Macaca mulatta: one gene and its partners. The protein of the gene in region 4 purifies or fractionates together with the protein of the main gene of each other region. This does not show direct contact. Links are inferred from orthologs where the notes say so. Each region holds a gene or a part of one and is shown on either strand. Other genes may lie near its edges.

Region 1 (4,775 bases), on a different chromosome or scaffold from region 4:
GGCAATCCTTCGTTTCCTCGTTGCCAACATGTCATAGAAAGGATCCCTGCTGATACTGGCTCTGGTGAAAGAAGGAAAACATGCAGGTTAGGTCGTGGGTGACACACAGACCTTCCCTTCCCCACCAGCCCCAGAGGCTCCTGGGACAGGACCGCAGGCTCAGATCTGAGCATCGGGTTTCTGGAGGCAGAGGGTCCGCTCTTGCACACGGAAGCATCCACGTTCCAGACATCCTCCGCCCTCCAACCAGCATGAGAAGACAGGCCTGGCCCCGCCCCCGAACCCCGCTCACTTGATGGATTTCATCCACTCCTCCTTCTCCTCCGGGCTGGGGGCTGAGATCCGGTACACCACGTGGTTCCCCTCTACTACGCGGCCGTCCGCCTCCGTCTTACAGGCCTTGATGACCTGCCCTTTGTGGCTGGGATTGTAGAGCTCAAAACAGTTCTGGTGGAGAAAGAGAGGGGAGGCCGTCACAGGGGCTGGGGGCCAGGTTCCCTGCAGGCAGTGAGGATGGCTCCCAGGTGGCTGGCAGGAGAGAAGGTTCAGGAGGGAGCTTACGGGTTTCCGGGGGTCCTCCACCTCCCTGATGCTGAGGTTTTCCAACGGGATGATTCCCCTGGGCTCCTTATCCTACAAGAGAGAAGTACACGGGCGCTCACTGTGCGCCACCAGCCTGGGGGTCCCTCGGCCCCAGGGCAGCTCCGTGACTGCCGGGAGGCGACCAGGAGGCCCAACCTTACTTACTGTTGTGTATTCAAAGTAATAGAGGCAGTTATCAGTCAGGATGAACCACCTGCGCTTCCAGGTCTTCACGCGTCCTCCTAGAAGCAGAAGGGCCCCGTGAGTGTGTGCTCCGTGCACAGGGAGCCCGCGGGTCCAAGAGGGGGCCCTGGACCTGCACAGACCACTGCGTTTTCAGAAAGGCTGCCAGGCGCCAGGCTCGGGTTTAGGTGCCCTTCGGTGTTCCCACCGCGGGGCCCCGCATGCACCCACCCCGCCCACACCGGTGCCCCTCCACGGCACCGAGGGGCCCCCTGATGACACGACCGCACTCCAATTCGCTTCCTGGGAGTTAGTGGGATGGATGGCGTCATTTCTCCACATGAGATGGCAGCGTGATGAAGTCAGGACGGCTCGCCGGGCTCTGTCCAGGGCCTGACCCACCATGTCAGGTGGCTGTCACGTTACAGAGGCCCTTGGGCAGCCCTGGGATCCCCCAAACTCAATCACCCCTGGGCCCAGGGAATCGTGAGACTGAATTAATTCTGTAACAAGATCCGGAGCGCACGCGCGTACCCCTATCTGTACCTGCCCTCCTCTCACTAAGGGAAGGACATCTCTGATCCTTAAACACTGAGCAGACACAAACTGACTTCAGCTGCTAGCCTTGCCTGTGTTTGTTTTTTAAATAATTCAAAGAAACGCACGCGCGGGGCAATGAACTCAGTGCTCCCTGGGGTACTAGGCCGCTCTGCCCCACGCCTCCCCAGCGCCGCGCAGCTCACCCGGCTTTCTCTGTGACAGGCTGGCAGGGGAGCGGCCTCCCTGTGTGGGGGCCAGCACGGGCGCTGAGGCCTGGCGGCAAGATGCTGTGAGAAGGGCTCTGCGGATCACCCGAAAGGTTTCCCTTTCGGGGCCTGGTGTGCAGAGACCCTGGGTGAGGAGGAACCAGCTGCAGGTGGCAGGAAGCCTGGCTCAGCCGTACTGGCGGCCGGAAGGGGTCTCCGCAGCCCCTCTGGGATCCTCCGGCCCCTGCCTCACTCAGCACTGCCATCCTCCATTGATGCCTAAGGCAGCCTGCAATGTGGTTGCCACCGCCAGCCTGGGACAGAAGCCCAGTCTCCAGCTGTTCCTCGCCTCCCCACAGGCCCCAGTCTCATCAGTGTCCCACCAGCCCACCTGTTAAATCTAGACCCTGGTCTGGGCAAATCTGCCCCCCAAGCTTCCTGCTGCATCTCCCCAGCCCTCAAACCCTGCCCCCAACATCTCTCCTGAGCCCTGGCGGGGCTTCCACTCCCCGATCCCTGCAAGCTGCTCCGTCTGGAACCCACTGCCCCAACTGTGTGGGGCCGCCTCACTGGTCCCCTGAACACCCAGCCAGGCCCCAGCAAGGCCCAAAGCCCTTGTTGCCCTCGTGTCCCTGTCACCACGGGCTCCATGCTCCATGCAAGCCCTCGGCCTTCACCTTCCCCACCTCCGTTGCAGCATACCAGGGAGGCCTAAGTCCACAGGGGAGGGCAGGAGACCCTGGGGGCAACCCCGCCTTGTCCCTCAGTCCTCCAGTGAGCAGGGAGAGGCATTTTATGTCCCCGAGACCCTGGGGACAGGGGGACAGTGCTGATTCCTTCCAGGCACTTGCTCCAGCTCGAGCTGCTGTGGCAGAATCAGCTGACAGCAACTCCACTACCCTGACATCGGTCGCTGTCACAGTCGCCTCTGCTTCCCTCCAGAGACTCCAGAGCAGGCCCTGCTCCAGCTACACTGGTGCCAGCTGCCAGCCCCCAAACAGCAGCCAGAGGCATCTTTTCAAAAGCGTGTGGCGATCGTGCCCCTCCCGGCCTGACGCCCCCGCAAAGGGTCCCACTGCACTCGGCTTTAGACCCAACTCCTTGGGCGGCTGCAGGGGCCGCCCTTCCTGGCTCCCCAGCTGTGGCCTTTCTCCCTGCCCAGCTATCTGAGTCTCCAGTTCTTGGGGAGCTCATCCAGGAGCCCCCAGGTTGTGTGCTTCTGTCCAGCACCTGCTCTGTTCCTCCATGCTCCCGGCATGGTGGACAGCGATGGGCCTGTATGTTCCACTAGCCTGTCTACCTGGCCCCCGCCTGGGAGGGGTCCGCCTGGGAGGGGTCTGCCTGGGAGGGGTCTGCCAGGCGGCCTCTCAGCTCCACCCTCAGGTCCCCTGCTCACACCCCCCATGGACAGCCCCATCCCTGTCCAGTCCTCAGGGCCAGGGGATGGTTGCAGACCAGGACTGCAGGCCCAGGGCAGTGGGTGGTGAGCTTGGTCTCAGAGCCCAGCAGGCTCTGCTCGTGCTTGCTTCTGGCCACGCCACACAGCATTCTCGCCTGCAGACAAGAGCCTGGTTTCTGGAACCTGCAGACGGGAGCCACTTTCTCTCTGCAAGTTACTATTACCACTTTCTCTCTGCAAGTTACTATTTTCATTGAGCAGGCAGGTGCGCACACGGATCCACACGCACAAACACAGCACGTGCACACACTTTCTGCATGATAGCTTGGATTGGACCACCTCCTGTTTTTTGTGTGTGTGTGTGTGTGGTAATTGATTCAAGACTCAAAGTCTTAAGTTACCAACAATCGTAAGCCACGCCTGTGTACACAGCAGGGTTCCTACGCTCTGGCAAAGCATCCTGGCCTTTTTAAGACCACCTGCTCTAAAAGCCAATCTACAGTAAGAATACAGCCAAGTCAGGTCGCGCTCCCTGCTCAGCGCATGCCTGGAAGCATTCTAGATCCTGCACCCGTCTCGTCTGCCTCCAGCCAGGGCCCTGGCTCGCCAGCCTTTGGTCTCGAACTTTGCTTCTGAGAACACAGTAGGCACACAGGGTGCCTGGGTGGGAGAGGGCAAGGAAGCCAGCACCCTAGAGTGGCAGCCGCTCACCGGGCCGCCCACCACACTGAGGCCATGCCAGCTGCACCAGCCCCTCCAGGGTCCCCGCGCTTGGCACCCGACACCCAGCCAGCTCTTGGTTCCCGTGAGCGCTGTGTGCACTCATTTTGTGGCCTGTTTATCTGCCCAACCAGAAAACAGGTTAGATAACACGAGCTCTGCTGTGCCTTCATTTCATTCACGCATTTACATCTCCAGAGCCGACCCTTCCCTGGTGGCACAGGCCACATTAACTGCCAGGCAGGCTGACGGCGTCACTGTCCCTCGAGGGGACACTGGGGGGCAATGCAGGAACCAGAAGGGAGGCATCTAATCAAACGAACGTCCCACTTATCCCATCCCCAGAGCACCTGCTGCTGTTTCCGGTTACATCCCCCCCGCCCTCACTCTAGAACCCTCACACGAAGTGATCTGATCTGGTCTCTCAGGCACCCAAGCCCAAGACCATGGTGGGAGGTTTTCAGGCAAATACCTAGAACTCCCCTAAACCTCGGCAGAGCCAGAAAAAAGTCAAAGAGCAATGGCCAAGTCGAAGACCCTAATGGGAAAGGCAGACCTGTGGGACTCACATCCCTTCCACCAGCTGAGGAAGCCTGTGCCTGTCACACAGTGTCTCATCCTTCCTCGATAATTGTTATTTTATTTATTTATTTTTTTGAGACAAGGTCTCCCTCTGTCGCCCAGGCAGGAGTGCAGTGGCACAGTCATGGCTCACTGGAGCCTCAACCTCCCGGGTTCAGGCGATCCTCCTGCCTCAGCCTCCCTAGTAGCTGGGACTACGGGCACACACCATCGTGCCAGGCCAATTTTTATTTTTTTGTAAAAACGGGGTTTCACTATATTGTCCAGGCTGGTCTCAAGCTCCTGGCCTAAGCAATCCTCCCGCCTCAGCCTCCCAAAGCAGTAGGATTACACACATGAGCCACTGCATCCGAATGATAAATTTTTTTTAAATCACCAGGACACTCCACTCCAGGTCTTATGTGCTGCCCGGTGGCCGCCTGCTCTCAGAAGGGCTTGCGTGAGCCCAGCCATGGCATCTGGAAGGCTTCACTGTGGGCACACGGCAACCATCCCCGCCCCACAGGCAAAACACCCCTCCGCATCTCTAAAACCGCACGCGAGTGCCCTAAATCGCTCCAGGG
Region 2 (4,775 bases), on a different chromosome or scaffold from region 4:
AAAAATGTAAAAAAATGGCTTTTTTTCTGGTTATAAAGGTAATATACCTTTATTGCAGAAAATTGGTAAAACACAAAAAAGTATAAAAAACAAATTTCTCATAAACACTTATCCCGGAGATAATCAGGATTCATATTTTGGTATGTTTCCTTTCTGTATATTCTGGTGTCTGCACACACGTACTCAGAATTCAGTGTGCCCTTTGTTTTTTCCTGTTGATTAATTCTCTGTCAGTTACCATAGAACATCAAGGAAATGCAGACACCGGGAATGTGAGTGCATTCAAAGTACTCAGCCAGTGAATTTGGGAAGACTTGTAATCATGAACTGCATCCGAAGTTGTGAGTCAGGGAGTGGTTTTTTAGGTTATTACTGTTTTTTAATCTGGAACTTAAAATGGTTTTCCAGTATTGAAAGCACCAAGCGGGAAGTGATTCTGCAGATCCCCAAGGATCCATCCATACGGGTACTCAGGCTCACCCTGCATTTGTTTCTCAAGCACGCATTACATTTGCTCGGACTTTCCCACAGGAGAGAATTCATGTTTCTCATCAACGACCTGATGCCAGCATTATGTAGAAATTATCCTAAATACTATTTAATCAAGCAAAAATAATATACTCATGGAGTACAAGATTTCACTTTCTGAAATGTATACGCGTCAGTTAACTAAGGCGATCCAGTAGCAGGAACAGCTGTTTTGCTTTGGACACCTTACTAGGGTGTCAGACCTGTGTAGACTGGGGAAGGCCCCTTAGAGAGGTAGCTGCCTAGGGCCTGGAGCTATAGGGGCTCCAAGTGGAGCAGATGGAGAAGTGAGCTGGCTAGCTAGTGAAATGAGGGCGCCATCTTTGGTGTGTGTCCCGGGCAGTCATGTGGCACAGATTGTGGCTGGCAGAGATCTGGGAGTGTGCGTTCTGGTGGCTGCAGGAAAGCCTTTGGTGAAGGACCGGACTGAGGCCCAGGAAGTTGAGTATTCCCAGTAGTTTCACTCCTTGCTTCTGTGGGCACCTCTGACACTGCCTCGCCACTTACACCGGAAACCATGAAACAGGCCTTTCCTTGTGGTATTTGTTTGGAAATACTGATCAAAGTAATCTTACTGGATTTAGAAAAAAATGATTAGATGATCATTTTAGTTAAATAGGAATTTCTAGATATCTGGTCATAACCCTTCATTCTGGCTAAAATTAAATGGTGTTTCCCCTGTGACTTTATTTCTTAAGGCAGCTGTTCACAGGGGATCCCAGATTATCTTACACCTGGAAGTTCTGATACTACTCACAGTTTTCAGGTGTTCCTTTCAAAAGGTCAAAACAGGCTGGATGTGATGGCTCACGCCTATAATACCAGCATTTTGGGAGGCTAAGGTGGGAAGATTGCTTGAGGCCAGGAGTTTAAGACCAGCCTGGGCTACATAGGAAGACCCTGTCTCTACAAAATGTTTTAAGAAGTAGCCAGTTGTGGTGGCACCTGCCTGTAGTCTAGTTACTCAGGAGGCTGGGGCCTGAGGATCACTTGAGCTCAGGAGTTAAAAGTTGCAGTGAGCCACAGTCTCACCACTGTACTCCAGCCTGGGCGACACAGCAAGACCCTGCCTGGAATAAAAACAATAAAAAACACCAACTCTCAAAACACTTAGGAAGATGTTCTTCCCTCCAAGGATTTAGCTAGCGAATACCTGTGTTCTTCAAGGCAATAACATGTTACGATTTTGTTTCTGGGCAACTCTTTTGCTCTCAGAGATTATAAAATTACTATTGACATTGATGGGCAGTGGTTCTTAAATTTGGGTGCACACCAGAATTACTGCAGAAGGTTTTAAAAATTCAAATTCCTAGGTTCTGCCCCTTGTACTTTGAGTGACTCAGCCAGTCCAGAGCCTTGCTACTCAGACTTCACACATGGGATCATGTTAAACGTACAGAAGCACAGGCCCCTTCTCAGACATAGAATCTGTTTTGATGAGGCCCCAGGTGGTACGTATGTATAAACGAGCAGAGCGTCTTCATGTCGGACATGCTCCCAAGGCTGCTGGTTGGTGGATCAGACTGTGAGAAGCATGGTCTGTGAATCTGCATTTTTCATTCTGATACAGTCGAGAAAACCACCTATTATTTAGCAGCTTCTTAAAAAGTTAAATATAGATGTACCATATGACCCAGCAGTGTCCAGCCCTGGATATCTCCCCAGGGGAAATGAAAACATGTTTCCACACAAAGGCCTGTACACAAATGCTCATAGCAGCCTTCTGCATAATCGTCCCAAACTGCAAACAGCCTGAGTGTCCATCATCTGGTAAATGGATAAACAGATGTGGTTTATCCATACCGTGGAAGATGACGCAGCCGCAAGAAGGCATGTGGTACTGGCCCACACTCCAGCACGATGACCTTGATGGCATTATGCTAATGAAAGAAGCCAGATCTGAAAATCCACATATTTTATGACTCTGTTTGTATGATATGTCCAGAATAGGCAAATCTGGAGACAGAAAATAGATTAATAGTTGCCTGGGGATGGAGGCAGAAGTGAGGATTAACTGTAAAAAGATGTGAGGAATTCCGTAGGGAGGATGAAAATGTTCTAAAACTGGATTATGGGCCGGGCGCGGTGGCTCAAGCCTGTAATCCCAGCACTTTGGGAGGCCGAGACGGGCAGATCACAAGGTCAGGAGATCGAAACCATCCTGGCTAACATGGTGAAACCCCGTCTCTATTAAGAAATACAAAAAACTAGCCGGGCGAGGTGGCGGGCGCCTGTAGTCCCAGCTACTCGGGAGGCTGTGGCCGGAGAATGGCGTGAACCCGGGAGGCGGAGCTTGCAGTGAGCTGAGATCCGGCCACTGCACTCCAGCCTTGGTGACAGAGCGAGACTCCATCTCAAAAAAAAAAAAAAAAAACTGGATTATGGTGATGTTGCACAACTTAGTATACTAAAAATTCAGATATGTACCTACAGTAGGAATATTATAAGTAAATTATACCCTGATAAAGTTTTTTTAAAAACCATGTTAAAAAAGAAAACTGGCCAGGTACAGTGGCTCATGCCTGTAATTCCAGCACTTTGGGAGGCCGAGGCGGGCACATCGCTTAAGTGCAAGAGTTTGAGACCAGCCTGGGCAGCACAGTGAGACCCTGTCTCCACCAAAAAAAAAAAAAATTAACAGGGCATGGTGGCATGCGCCTGTGGTCCCAGCTACTTGGGAGGCTGAGGTGGAAGGATCACTTGAGCCCAGGAGACAGAGGTCGCAATGAGCCGAGATAGCGCCACTGCACTCCAGCCTTTGGACAGAGAGAGACCCTGTCTCAAAAAAAAAAAAGAAAACCTCTGATCCAGGGTAGAAGGAGCAAATGAGCTTGAAGCCAGGTTCAGGCTTCAGGTTTCAGTTGGCCTTTCATAGTTCCACCGGATTATGCCTGTTGCTTTCCTGCATAAATCTTTCAAAAATCTGTGTACATCAATGGCCTCATGTGGAAATGATACTAGTCTTTCAAGCCTTTCCAATGGCCTGAAGTACTAAAATGGCTGTGATGGTTGTTTTACAGGAAAAACATGCAGAGGAACAAACAGGTAGCCATGGGCAGGAAAAAATTTAATATGGACCCTAAAAAGGTAAGTGAGAAAGAAGCGGGAAGTGGTCCATATTAGATGGGGTTTTTTTAATAGTGCTCAGATAGACCCTAAAAACGTTTCTTTCCAAGTGTTACAGTTCATGTTGCCGTTTTGTAGAGCAAATGTTATGCGCTAAGCCCTTGTTCCTAAACTGTGACTCTCCGGCTTTTTAGGTCAGCTAGCAACTATTTATTAAATATTCCAGTGCGCCCACACCCATTTCTTCCTGTGCCCTTTCCTCTTCTTTTTAGCTGTTTCCCAGCAAAGCATCATTGGCGTCTTCATTGTCTTTTTCTAGGGGATCCAGTTCTTAATAGAGAACGACCTGCTGAAGAACACTTGTGAAGACATCGCCCAGTTCTTATACAAAGGCGAAGGGCTCAACAAGACAGCCATCGGAGACTACCTAGGGGAGAGGCAAGGCCTTGGGGATGCGCGCGTGCTAGGGAAGGCTGTTCAGGAATGACACAAAGAAACAAACTCCCAAATACGCTTTAGGTTCTTGGAGGGGTTTTTGCCTTAAATCATCTGTAGCCACACTGCTGTTGAGGGGAGGCTTTTCTGGGGAATAGTGGTGGGTCTGTCCGGGAGTCATGGGGACATCGAGCTTGTTTAGCCAGTCAGCAGAGCTAGCCAGTCTTCTTGCTGACAGTGTGCGAGAGTAGCTGTCTGGACAGCCACAGGACGGAGTGTGGGAGACATGGCCTGGCTGGAGATTCTCAGTGTCAGTGTCTGACTCCTGCTTTCTCTCCCATTTTTTGTCTTTTCTCGATAGAGATGAGTTTAATATCCAGGTTCTTCATGCATTTGTGGAGCTGCACGAGTTCACTGATCTTAATCTCGTTCAGGCACTACGGTGAGTATTCTTGAGGTGAGCCGCTTTGGAAGGAGTGGGAGGCCACCCTTTGATCATGAGTCTGTTCTGGGTGCCATTTTATTGGAATTATATCTTTGGGTATGATTTTGAATATTTTGGAGTATTTTGGAGGGAAGAAATCTGTTGGTCTCTGACTGGAAACGACTGGATGGTCAAGGGGAATTCAGTTCTGTTACGTTCCGGAGGCAGATTCTGTAACACTCTTTTTGAGTCTTACATTTGAGGTTTTAGAAATTGATGAATACTTAAATTTTTAAATTTTTAAGTTTAGAAAATCCTTTAG
Region 3 (5,550 bases), about 53 Mb from region 4:
GAATAGAAAGCAGAGTTTATTATATTTAGTAGAATAAAAATTCTTCACTGAAACTTATAGTTTATATGTACACATATGTCCCATATAAAATTTATTTCTTACTATAGGTAAACATTTTAAGGAGTCTTAAAATCGCTGCTTTATGGGATTATTTCATTTGCTCCCCACAATAACCCTATGGACAATTCCATAACTTCCATTATAAGAGAATCGAAATTTCTAGATGTCATATATATTGTCCAAGGTGACAGCGCCATCTAAAAGTACAGACATTAAGTCCAACAGAGCTTAAAAGAAAATAAATACAGACATTACTTGTACAGATACTTGCTCATAGGGTAATGTGGTAAGACAATCTGAATTAATAAGGTTTTGATAATAGTAGTTATGGCTTGATTAGATAGGCTTTGAAGACAGACAAGCCTGATAATACCTGGCTCTGCAACTAACCAGCTGTGTGGGCTGTGGCCTGTAATTCAACCTCTCTGAGCTTCGATTTCCCCATGTGTAAAATATTCATACAACTGTTGTAAGCTGCAGATGATTTACTGTATGCAAATAGCCTAGACCAATTAAATGGGGGCTGTTGTGATTAAAATAATTATTAGTGTTTCCCCCCACGGATCCTATAAATCACATTCAATCCACTATGCCATAATTTAAATGTGTAAAAACTGTGCATCAGACTTTTATTGGATTAAACAACAAAGTATGGGAACTGGGCAAAAATGACATAGAGCTATCCAAGAGTCTCTGCTGTCGCTGGTTGAGAAGGATGCCAAGATCAAGGAGTTGATTCAGGTAACTAAGGGAATCTGAGGAAACATCGTTGCTTAACTGTAAAAACTAAATCAAACTACTTCATCCTCCTCAGAAGACCACAGCAAACATCCATCTTGCTCCTCTGTAGCCTGGATGGGGCAGACCCAGGTGTTAGGAGACGCACCTGGTCCGCTTCCGCCCACTAGGCCCTGGGCACCTCGGGGCTAGGGACAGAGGTTTGGAGCAACTCACCCCGGAGACTCCGTTGATACTGCCCCAGAATCTCCTCCAGGGTAGAGTTCTCCGGGGACTTCGCCATGCACACACTCTAGGCCCAGAGCTGGGAGTTACGTGGGGAAATGTCCAGCTTTCTCCCTTCCGAAAACAGCAGGCCTGTGGCCGCGGAGCGCCGGCCTGCTTCCTGCCGCGGCTGTCACAGGGGAGCCTAGAATCCCGCACGAAGCTCGTGGGGGCTCTTCCCACCCACTGGCCCTCGCGTTGGACCTCGGGAGTTGTAGTCCTCATGTTCAGCGCCTCCAAGCTCGACAATCTTTAGAGCCTTCCAGCTACACTACAATTCCCAGAGACCACTGCGCACCAAGCGCTAGCTCGGACGGTTGGGCTGCCAGAGCCTGTTGCCAAGAGACAGGCTTGCAGGCCCCGCCCTTTTCCTCCAGCCCAGCCTGGTTTAGTCCCGCCTCCATCCCGCTCTTCTGCCGCCTGGACCACCCCAAATGACAGAAAGGGTTCACTGAAGGCCTTGACGCTTCGAATTTGCTAATATGCAGCAGTTGATCCCTAGGTTACTCAAGGACGCAGAGAGGAACCTCTGAACCCTGCTTCGGTTGCGGTATTTTTTTTAACGGTCGAATAAATCCTCAAGAAATAGAAGCTCTAAATCCTCCAAACAGCCTAAATTGTAAAGGCGGCCGACACTACAACTCCTAGCATGCCCAGTAACCGGACCTCCACTTGGAGTTGGCGCTCTGCCCGCTGGGAACTGTAGTCCTTGTTGGTTGCGGTCCCACCTAACTCCGAGGTCCTCTTCATTGTTCTAGCTGGTCTTTCGGGGCACGCCTGCGCAGTGGGCAAGCTGGAAAAACGTGTGGGTGAGACCCTCGCACAACCCCTTTTCATTGTCTGTGTCTGGCGCCTGCGCAGTAAGGAATCGTTGGAACTGGGCAGGAGGAGGGGATAGGGTCCGGCTCCTCGCCCTTTCCCGAGGCGCCTGCGCACTAGGCAGCCGCTCTTTGCCGTTACCGCTATGTGTGGGGCGTGTGTGGAATAACGTTATTGCCCAGCGGAGCTGAGGGCCCCGGAGCTCGACCGCAGCGGCAGCGACGACAACAGCGGCGGCGACGACGACGAGGTGGGGGGAGGACGGCGTGCGAGAGACTCACGGGACGCGACGCGCCCCGCCTCCCCCGTCCGGTCCCTCTCGCCACTGTGAGGGGTAAGTGATGCGATCGGCTGCTCGGTGTAGGCGCCGCAGCCGCCGCCGCGGCTGCTTTTCCACGTCCTGCTCCTCGGGTTTGCAGCGAGGACTCGGGCGCGGCCCGCCGCGGGGCGGGGGTGCGGGGCTGCGGGGCTGGACCGCGAAGGGGGCGCTTCCCGGATGCTCCGCGCGGCGCCGCCACCCCCACCCTCTGCCCGCCCAGGACCGGGGTCTGGACGGGACCACCCTTCCCATCCCCCACCCGCCGCCCTCGGGAGCTCCAGTCCTGCGGCCCCCCGGCTTTCCCGAGTCCCTTGCCGCCGCCTCCGCGTCCCCTAAGTGCATTGACTCATTTTCAGCTTTCTCCTGGCTTTGTGCAGCCCTCCCCCTTCCGCCGTAGCAGTTTGCGAGGGGTGCGGGCGGAGCATTGGAGGGAATGGCTGCGCTGTCGCTGGGGAAGGGATTTTTCCCCGATTGGAGCAGTTCCGCGGGCCGATCCCTTTTGTGTGGTTGGTTTTGAGGTGTGAGGCCGTTGGCGAGGTCAGGCGAGGAGCCTTTTGGACGCGTTGGGAGGGCGTGGAAGACGCGCTGTCATGCACCCTGCCAGGCGACTGCACCCCGCGGAGGCTCTGGCTCCGTAGTAAACCCGGGGGAGGAGAGAGTGGCTTCCTGTCGGCTTCATTGTCCTAGGATTCAAATATAGGGTTTTGGTACGTTTCGCTTCCATTTTATGCAAGCGATGAAAAAATAACATTTGCAGCTGCCTAACACAGGGCGGGAAGACGTGGGATTTGTCTACTAAGTCACAGAATCTCTGTTCAGTGGCGTTTCGTAGAGTTTTATTTATTTATTTAATTTATTTTTGAGGAATGTAAGGGAGACAGGGACTATGCCTGCTGGAGTCCAAGCACTGCCAAGGTGATCAATATAAAATTACTAGGTGACATTGGAGCCTGGGCTGGAGAGGGCCTGACAACGAAGCTGTTGTGTCAGGGAAATGAACCAGCAGAATTGTTTTTTCAATGGGCGGGTAATGCATTTATGTTCCTGAGGGAATAGATACATCTTTCCGTTTTATTTTTTAAGCAAGTAGAACAAACAAAACAACTGGCCCAGGTCATTTCTGTTTCCGAAGTTGTTACCTCATTTTTATTGTATTAATGAAAATTTAGCCATTTGGGAGGAATTTGGCGAAGCAGATGATACATTTGATTGAAAATGCATCTTTTAAAACGATTTCATCCTCAAGTTTACAATGGATACAGCCGTTTGCTGGCGTTGCTTCTTAAAACACACCAGAAGAGAGGATAACGCAGGATGGGGAGGAGCAGGTGGAGGAATAATGGGAGAGGAGAGAGTGACATTTTGACTATAGTATCTGGATCTTCACTGGTATAACCCTAGCTGGGTATGCTTCAGAGACTTAGGAATTCAGCTCTGGAAACAGTACACTGATGAATAGCAAGTTACGTATTTTTCTGTCATTATTTTTTAAAAAGTAAAACTAGGGCTGCCTTTAGCTCTTCCTAACTTTGTAGGTAACACGGAAGAGCCCAAGTGCACTTGACAGAGGAAGACACTAAAACTCAGAAAGTTAACTGACTTGTCTGCCCAAGCCAGACTGTTAATGGAAGGCAGAGCCAAATGAAACTCAAGGTCCATTCTGCAGAGTGATCTTTCCTGTGTCCCCCCAGCCCTTTTACCCTGTGAAAATGTATGGAAAGCTTCTTTACGCTCTCCTTGAGCAGGCTGTGACTATCACTGAACTTGATTCTCACCGTTATTAATCAAGTTCTTGCCTCTGCGATGTAAAAGTAGTAATTCTTCTGAAATGGACCTTTAGTTGTATAAAGTAACTTACTAAATGAGGAAAGATGTCCTAACATGTGCTTTTCATAAAAACGAAGTGTTGCAGTGTTTTCCCTACTACTTAATGGTAGGTTTTAGTATTATTTCTTGAAAATCAATAGTATTTTATAATAATATGATGATCAACTCTATAGGCTGTGTTAAAAATAAAATTTCTGCATAACAAGAGCCTGTGATGTTTATTTTACCACAGTTAATGAGTTGTAATCATTAATGAGTTATTAGTGATTACTTTCAACTTAAACTAGAATTTACATTTTAAGATATATTGACTTTGTTTTTTATTGGGTTGATTTTGCCATAAAGTGCTCTTTTCTTGCCTTATAATTTTAATCGTTTAATTTTATGTTGCATTTTAATAGACTTCTTTAAAGGATTTATTATTTATCTTAAATTTCAACTTTAAAAAATGTGTAACTAAATTTCAGTGTGTGGAATTATATTCAATCATGCTTTAAATGTATTTTACTGGTAAATTTCATTGTGTTCTGAGATTATTTTGTATGGAAATAATCTGCCTGTTCCCTATTTTAACATTAGAATAGTGAAATTTATACTGTAAACCTTAGCATACATTCTGCATATTAATGCTGCTATGGTACTTTTTAAAATTCTGTGCTTCGTGATTTGTTTGATTTGTTCTAAGTATCAGTTTCTTGTTCCTTTTTATCTACTGAAAAAAAGAACTAGTTTTATTATTGTATCTGATTGCAATTAGATAATGCTCATCTAGTACTAAATATTGTATATGCTTAAGTTTTTTTGTCAAAATTTTTTTATTCCACAAAATTCTATTCCTGAAAAATATTTTTTCTATACTAATTAATATGTAAAGACTTTTCTTTCTTATCTGTCCCAAACACTGGGATGTTAAGCAGTGTACTTTTCAACTAAGTATCTGACAGACAACCTGATATTTAATTGCTAACTAAAATATCTGTACAGTTGCAAATTATTCTGGAAGTATAACAAAAGAGCAGTTACATGCCATTTGAAGAATGCTTGGTGAGTAGATAATATTGACTGAAGCATTCAATATTGATCTGTTTCATTAAGAAATGGGATACTTTTGATGGGAAGAAATATCAGACCATCTTTATCTCATTAATAACCAAAATTTCTAATCAAATACCCTAGGTTTTGATTTACTTACTCAAATATTTCATGAAGGATTGTTCAGCAGTGAGTTAGCCATTGTGAGAGAGAAAAAACATCTGTCTGGTAGTGTGGTTGATTAAACTGGATATATTGTACAGTTTAGCAGAAATGTTTTAGCCAAAGCCAGTGACATAGCCAATGTGTGTTACCAGTAAAGCCCACTTTTGGATCAAATAAAGGTGCAGAAACAAAACAGCAAAAGCAAAGTTAAAGAAAACCTCATAAAATCTACTTACATACAAACAGGGATTGTGACAAAGTATAGAAGTGGAGAAGAATCCCAAGCATGCATTGTTGAGGTCTGAAAAACAAATGACACATAGCAG
Region 4 (5,446 bases):
GCCCAGCTACCATGCAGCTTTTAGAGGCTCAGCTAAGGACATCCAACTCTGCTTCCCTTTCTCCTCCCCAGCAAGAACTTGAAGTTTTTCCCCACTTCCCTTCCGCTTAACAGAAAAGCCCATCTGACCGAAAATGCTTGCCCCTTCAGCCAAACTGGGAAGGAGAGAGAGCTGATGGGGGCTTAGCGGCCTCTTCCAAATCGCACCTCCTTCATCCCCCTCCATGGGCTGAGCAGTCAGTTTCCAGTGAGGACTCTGGTTTGTGCCTCCATGATGCCTACTTCTCAGGCCCTTGACCTCTTCCCTCCGCCTTTGACCCACTTTCACCCCACTGCCACAACGGGAGTCTAGGCGCCATCGCCCTCACCTGCACTCTGCACTCGTGCCTGCCCATGCTTTCTCCCCACTCCAACCACTCACAGGCCATTCATTTTCTAAAGGTCAGTCTGTCCAGTTCATCTCCTGGGTCAACATTTTTCAGCAGTGTGATGGTTAATTTTACATGTCAACTTGGCTAGGCCCAGTGCCCAGATATTTGGTTAAACTTTTTTTCAGATGTTTCTAGAAGGTGTTTTGTTGTTTTGTTTTTTTTGTGTGTGTTTTTAGATGAGATTAACATTGAAATTAATAGACTTCGAGTAAAGCAGATTACCCTCCAATCTGTGGAAGGCCTGGTTGGAACAAAGTCTGATCTCTCTGGAGCAAGAATGAATCCTGCCAGCAGGTTGCCTTCAAACTTGAACTCCAGCTCTTCCCTGGGTCTCCAGCCTGAGAGTCTAGCCTGCAGATTCTGGACGTACCAGCTTTCACAATCCAATGAACCAGTTCCTTAAAAATCAATCAATCTCTCTCTTGCATTCTCTCTTTCTCGATATAGCTGTCTATTTACCTATCTATACATACACATCTTACTGGTTCTGTTTCTCGGAGAACACTGATTAATTCAAGTAGCTTCTCTTCAACTTCAGTATAAAAATCTTAAATCCTCACCTAGCCCACAAGGCTCTTAGTCATCTTAGCTCATATATTGCCTTTGTACAAATTAGAAAAAGCCACCCTCTCTAGGCAGATACAACTCTGACCAAACACAGGGCGAGGTGGGTGGAGAATGGTGAACCTTCCCTCTTAGTATGGTGCACAACCTGGACAACCACATGGAGCTGCCTTACTTTTGTTTGTTTGTTTGTTGTGTGTGTGTGTTTAGTTGAGACAGAGTCTCACTCTGTCACCCAGGCTGGAGTGCAATGGAGTGATCTCAGCTCACTGCAACCTCTGACGCATGGGTTCAAGCAATTCTCGTGCCTCAGCCTCCTGAGTAGCTGGGACTACAGACGCCCAGCACTGTGCCTGGCTAATTTTTTTTTGTATTTTTAGTAGAGACAGGGTTTCACCATGTTGCCCATGCCATTCTTGAACTCCTGACCTCAGGTGATCTGTCCGCCTTGGCCTCCCGAAGTGCTGGGATTACAAGTGTGAGCCACCGAGCCTGGTCGTTCATTGTGAGTTTCTTTTTTTTTTTTTTTTTTTTTAGACAGGGTCTTTCCCTGTCTCCCAGGCCAGATTGCAGTTTCGGGATATTGACTCACTGCAACCTCCGCCTCCCTGCTCAAGTGATCTTCCTACCTCAGCCTCCCAAGTAACTGGGACTGCAGGTGTGTGCCACCACTCCTGGCCAATTTCTTTATTTTCTGGTAGAGACGGGTTTTCACGATGTTGCCCAGGCTGATCTCCAACTCCTGACCTCAAGCAATCCTCTGGCCTGGGCCTCCCAAAGTGCTGGGATTATAGGTGTGAGCCTCTGCGCCTTGCTGCCCTGCTTCTGGATGAGCCCCTGACTGACGAATTAGCTTCGTCTCTCTTCCATATTCTCTCCCTTTACTCCTTCCTTATCCCAAACCCTAACCTCCCTGCAGCTCCTGGAACCCGCTGTGCTCCCTTGCTGCTGTGCTTTTGTACACCTGTCACTGCTGTTTCAAGCCCCCTCTTATCTTCTGTTATTGCTTCCTCTGGCCAAGCTTTGCCAAGGCTCAGCCTGGGTCAGCCTCCCCTCTCCTTGCCCGGGGTCCCAGCCCTTACTTCAGATACTGTGCTGCTTCATCACTCGTCTAGATTGGATACTCCTCCAGTGAATAGGGCTTGAGCTTTGATCCATCGGGCTGGGCACTAGTAGATGCTCAATAAATGTTTGGTAACAAGTGAAAACTGGGAAGTGAATGAATGGATGAACGGGGACACAGCAGCTCGCAGCGGGCAGCAGGAGGCGCTCCCCGAGAGGGTGCTCCTTCCCTTCAGAGCCAGCCCGAGTTCAGCCAGCGGCCCCGGCGGGAGGAGTGGGAGTGGGCCGGGGCCGGGGCCGGGGAGGAGCGGCCATCCCCGCGCGACCCACACACCCGGGCTCCGCCGCCCGCAGCGCGGCACAGCGAGGGGGAGGGCGCTTGTGGGGAGGACAGGGTCGGAGGAGCGCCCTTCCGCAGGCTCCTTTCATTCTTCCACTCGGGGGTCTCCAGGAATGAAAACTGGCCCCAGCCAGGCCAGAGCGCGCGAATGAAAGGCGGCACTGGGACCAAGAGAGAAGCCTCGTCCCGCCTGGGCTGCGGAAACTGGCGGCGCCGGGGGTGTCCCGCCGCGCGGGCGTCCGAAAGCGGGGCAAAGGGGACAGCCTTGCCCCTCGAGCGGCTGCTCCCGCAGCTCGCGCACCCCTGCGGGTACCTCGTCACTCCCGCATGCGGCCCCGTCCCGACTCTTGGATTGGACTCTCCAGTCCCTTCTTGCGTCTTCCCCTCTTTCATCTGGGCCTTGGTATGCCCCAGGGGACAGATGTCTTGGGATCTTTAACATTTGGGATGCTGCAAATGCCGAAGTTAAATGAAATACCTCCGGGGAGGGCAGGCCGCGGGGAGGCTCGCGGGGAGGGAAGATGGCCTGGACAAACAGGTCCTGAAGCTGCGAGGCTGGAGCGGAGGGCGCAGGGGCAGGCGGGCGGCGCCAGAGCTCCATGGGACAGGTAAGCGGGAAAACTTCGGGGCACCCAGCGCGGGTGAACTGGAGCGGGGGATCGGGCCCCTGAACCCATGGTCTTCAGCCTTAGCGGAGGGAGGGTGCCTACAGGGAATGGGGTTATGTATCAAGGGGGCAGGAATTCTGAGTTCCTACCAAAAATGCACACTCCCAGCCCCTCAACCTTTCTCCGTCGACCTTCTTCGTGCCTGTGGATCTTCCTGGCCAGGTTCCGGGAAGCCAGAAAGCAGCCAAACAAAAGGAGCAAAGTCTCGGGCCAGCCTGGATGTGGAGGGCGCGGTGGGGGAGGGGAGCAGGGTGGACAGGACAAAGGGGCTTTTTAGAGAAAGCCTAGAGGTCTCATTTCAGGGCGCATTCCAGGCTGGCTTGGAGTTCCCCACTCCACCTTTGCTTAGTGGAGGCGAACACCTTTCCTAGTGAGCAGGGAGCAGATGCAAGTAAGAAAACAGTGAAGGAACCATCTCCCACCCCTCCTGCCTGGAGGGTCCCGGGCTATTTCACTTCTTCCTTTTTTCACTGTTGGCTCTAGCGCTGGCCATTGATTCCTTAATTCATGAAGTAAGATTTTTAGCAGTGCCTGAGACTGCTTTGCTGGGGGCTGTTGGGGATGTGAAGATGGTAGGATCAGGCCCTTGCTTTAAAGAACTTCCAATCTGGTGTTATCAGAAGACGCTAGAAGAAGGAACTTTTTTTAAAAAAATGGAGAGTGGGTGGCTACAGCGCTGGGGAAGAGCTTTCTGATTCGGGACTTTTCCTTAGGAAATGAAAACACTAAAGAGGTCCAGTTTCCCTTCCCTGGGGAAGGGCTCTTGTCTGCAAAGATCAGATTCCAACTACTATAATGTTTTGCAAGGAAATACCACTTCCTCACCAACTGGTGGTCTGGATGGTGCTCTAGGGTTTGGGGCTGGGGCATCAGTCCCCTGACTCCCCAGCCTGGCTGGAGTGGGGAGCTGTTTCAGATTCCCAGCTGGCCTCTGGAGTGCCCACCTCCCCCATTAGTATTTTGAATTGAATGACATGGCTATCAGAGAGCTCCAAGGATGGCTCCCTGGGATTCTTGGCAGGAGGTTTGGTTTGCCAGCTCCCTTCCAAACCTCAGATTCTGCAGGGTTGGGAAATATTGAGTGTGAATTTGGGGGAGCAAGGCGTTTTTGAGAATTCCAAAGGATCAATGCAAACAGATTGAGCATCTGTACTAACCTCCCCTGAAGTCAGAGATGGTGGATTACCTGAGGGCAGGGATTCTTAACTGGGTTCATTGGCATTAGGCATCTGTAGATAGAATTCAGAGGGTTTGTAAACTAGGTGAGGAAAAAAAAGATAATTGTTTTTCACCAATCTTTAACAGATTTTAACATCACCTTTAGTTGTGAAGACAACAAATCACGGTAGCATTGGCAGTACCTGTGACTTTGCCATTAATAGATTTCACAGTTTCATATCACATTGCAGTCACAGCTGTCTTGAAATATTGTTTACACTCAGCCCTTGTATGAAATTACCCACTGCTAGACCCTGCTTAATGTTAATAAAGAAGCATATATATTGCTATGTTTTTTTATTTTTAGAACTTTATGTCATACAATTGACTTTTTTAGTGATCTTCTTAATTTTATTCTATGCATTAAGAAATGTGAACTGTGAGCCAATTCTAGAAACTTCCACCAACCCCCACCTGGAGCTGGGGGTGGGCAACGTGGAGGAAGGGCCGCTTATGCCCAGAGTTAACCCCTCTCTGTTTGACTTTGTAAGAAAGTGCCAAGCCTCTATGGGGAGGGACTGTGTGTCATGGAGGACTGGGGAAGGGCAGGACTGCAGGCTCTTTGGGAGACCCAGAGAACAAGCTCCCCATGGGGTAGGGGGAGGAGGAACTGTCCCCTGTTAGGGCCCCTCAGCCTCAGCCTGGGCAGAAAATGAGGTGGTCAGCCCGCAGCACTCTGGGGCTAGCATTGTTTGGAAAAAGGGTGTGTACAGGAATGTGAAGGTGTGCTGGGTGTGTGTACCGGAGCTGTGGGGGATGCTGGCGGACTCCAGTCCCATGAGTTCTGCTCCACAGGAGATGCCTGGTGAAAGCAAACTTCCTCTGTCTTCTCTGCACTCGGGGGTGGGGAGTGGGGAATGGGGGACAGGGCTCTTTAGGGTCTGGGGGAGGGGAGGCAATCCAGACAAATACTGAGGCACTGGAATCTGGGTGAGGGGAATGGTGGGAAGATCAGAGAGTGGGGGGAAAGGGAGGTGGTAAGATGAAGACTTGAGGGGTGCAGCCTGCTAGGGACAGGCAACAGTCAGCCTTAGTTCTGCTTCCCTCTGTGAAATAGGCTAGATTCCAGTTTCCCATTTGCTTGGGGGTCGGGAGGTCTCTCCTCAAGGGAGACCTTGAGGCTTATTTTTCTGTAGGAAATAAGTTCCATTTTGGTCTCTGGTT

Evidence for each region.
Region 1: the proteins of INAVA (region 4) and CYTH3 purify together in Homo sapiens (co-immunoprecipitation; 3 studies listed by BioGRID and IntAct, counting the BioPlex papers as one, with this or other methods). This does not show direct contact. The link is inferred for Macaca mulatta from reciprocal best matches to the Homo sapiens genes INAVA and CYTH3.
Region 2: the proteins of INAVA (region 4) and CYTH1 purify together in Homo sapiens (co-immunoprecipitation; 3 studies listed by BioGRID and IntAct, counting the BioPlex papers as one, with this or other methods). This does not show direct contact. The link is inferred for Macaca mulatta from reciprocal best matches to the Homo sapiens genes INAVA and CYTH1.
Region 3: the proteins of INAVA (region 4) and CEP170 purify together in Homo sapiens (co-immunoprecipitation; 3 studies listed by BioGRID and IntAct, counting the BioPlex papers as one, with this or other methods). This does not show direct contact. The link is inferred for Macaca mulatta from reciprocal best matches to the Homo sapiens genes INAVA and CEP170.

What each region holds. Positions count from the first base shown.
Region 1 is NC_133408.1:44,863,809-44,868,583, reverse strand, and holds part of CYTH3 (cytohesin-3), read right to left. Parts: intron 825-4,775; coding exon 748-824; intron 634-747; coding exon 562-633; intron 448-561; coding exon 293-447; intron 62-292; coding exon 1-61. UniProt on the Homo sapiens protein: Promotes guanine-nucleotide exchange on ARF1 and ARF6. Promotes the activation of ARF factors through replacement of GDP with GTP. Plays a role in the epithelial polarization.
Region 2 is NC_133421.1:88,384,957-88,389,731, reverse strand, and holds part of CYTH1 (cytohesin-1), read left to right. Parts: intron 1-3,548; coding exon 3,549-3,615; intron 3,616-3,913; coding exon 3,914-4,032; intron 4,033-4,390; coding exon 4,391-4,471; intron 4,472-4,775. UniProt on the Homo sapiens protein: Promotes guanine-nucleotide exchange on ARF1, ARF5 and ARF6. Promotes the activation of ARF factors through replacement of GDP with GTP.
Region 3 is NC_133406.1:5,892,193-5,897,742, forward strand, and holds the start of CEP170 (centrosomal protein of 170 kDa), read left to right. Parts: upstream 1-1,994; 5' UTR 1,995-2,215; intron 2,216-5,550. Other genes in the region: SDCCAG8 (serologically defined colon cancer antigen 8), read right to left, coding at 1,015-1,081.
Region 4 is NC_133406.1:58,537,916-58,543,361, forward strand, and holds the start of INAVA (innate immunity activator protein), read left to right. Parts: upstream 1-2,296; 5' UTR 2,297-2,723; coding exon 2,724-3,004; intron 3,005-5,446. UniProt on the Homo sapiens protein: Expressed in peripheral macrophages and intestinal myeloid-derived cells, is required for optimal PRR (pattern recognition receptor)-induced signaling, cytokine secretion, and bacterial clearance.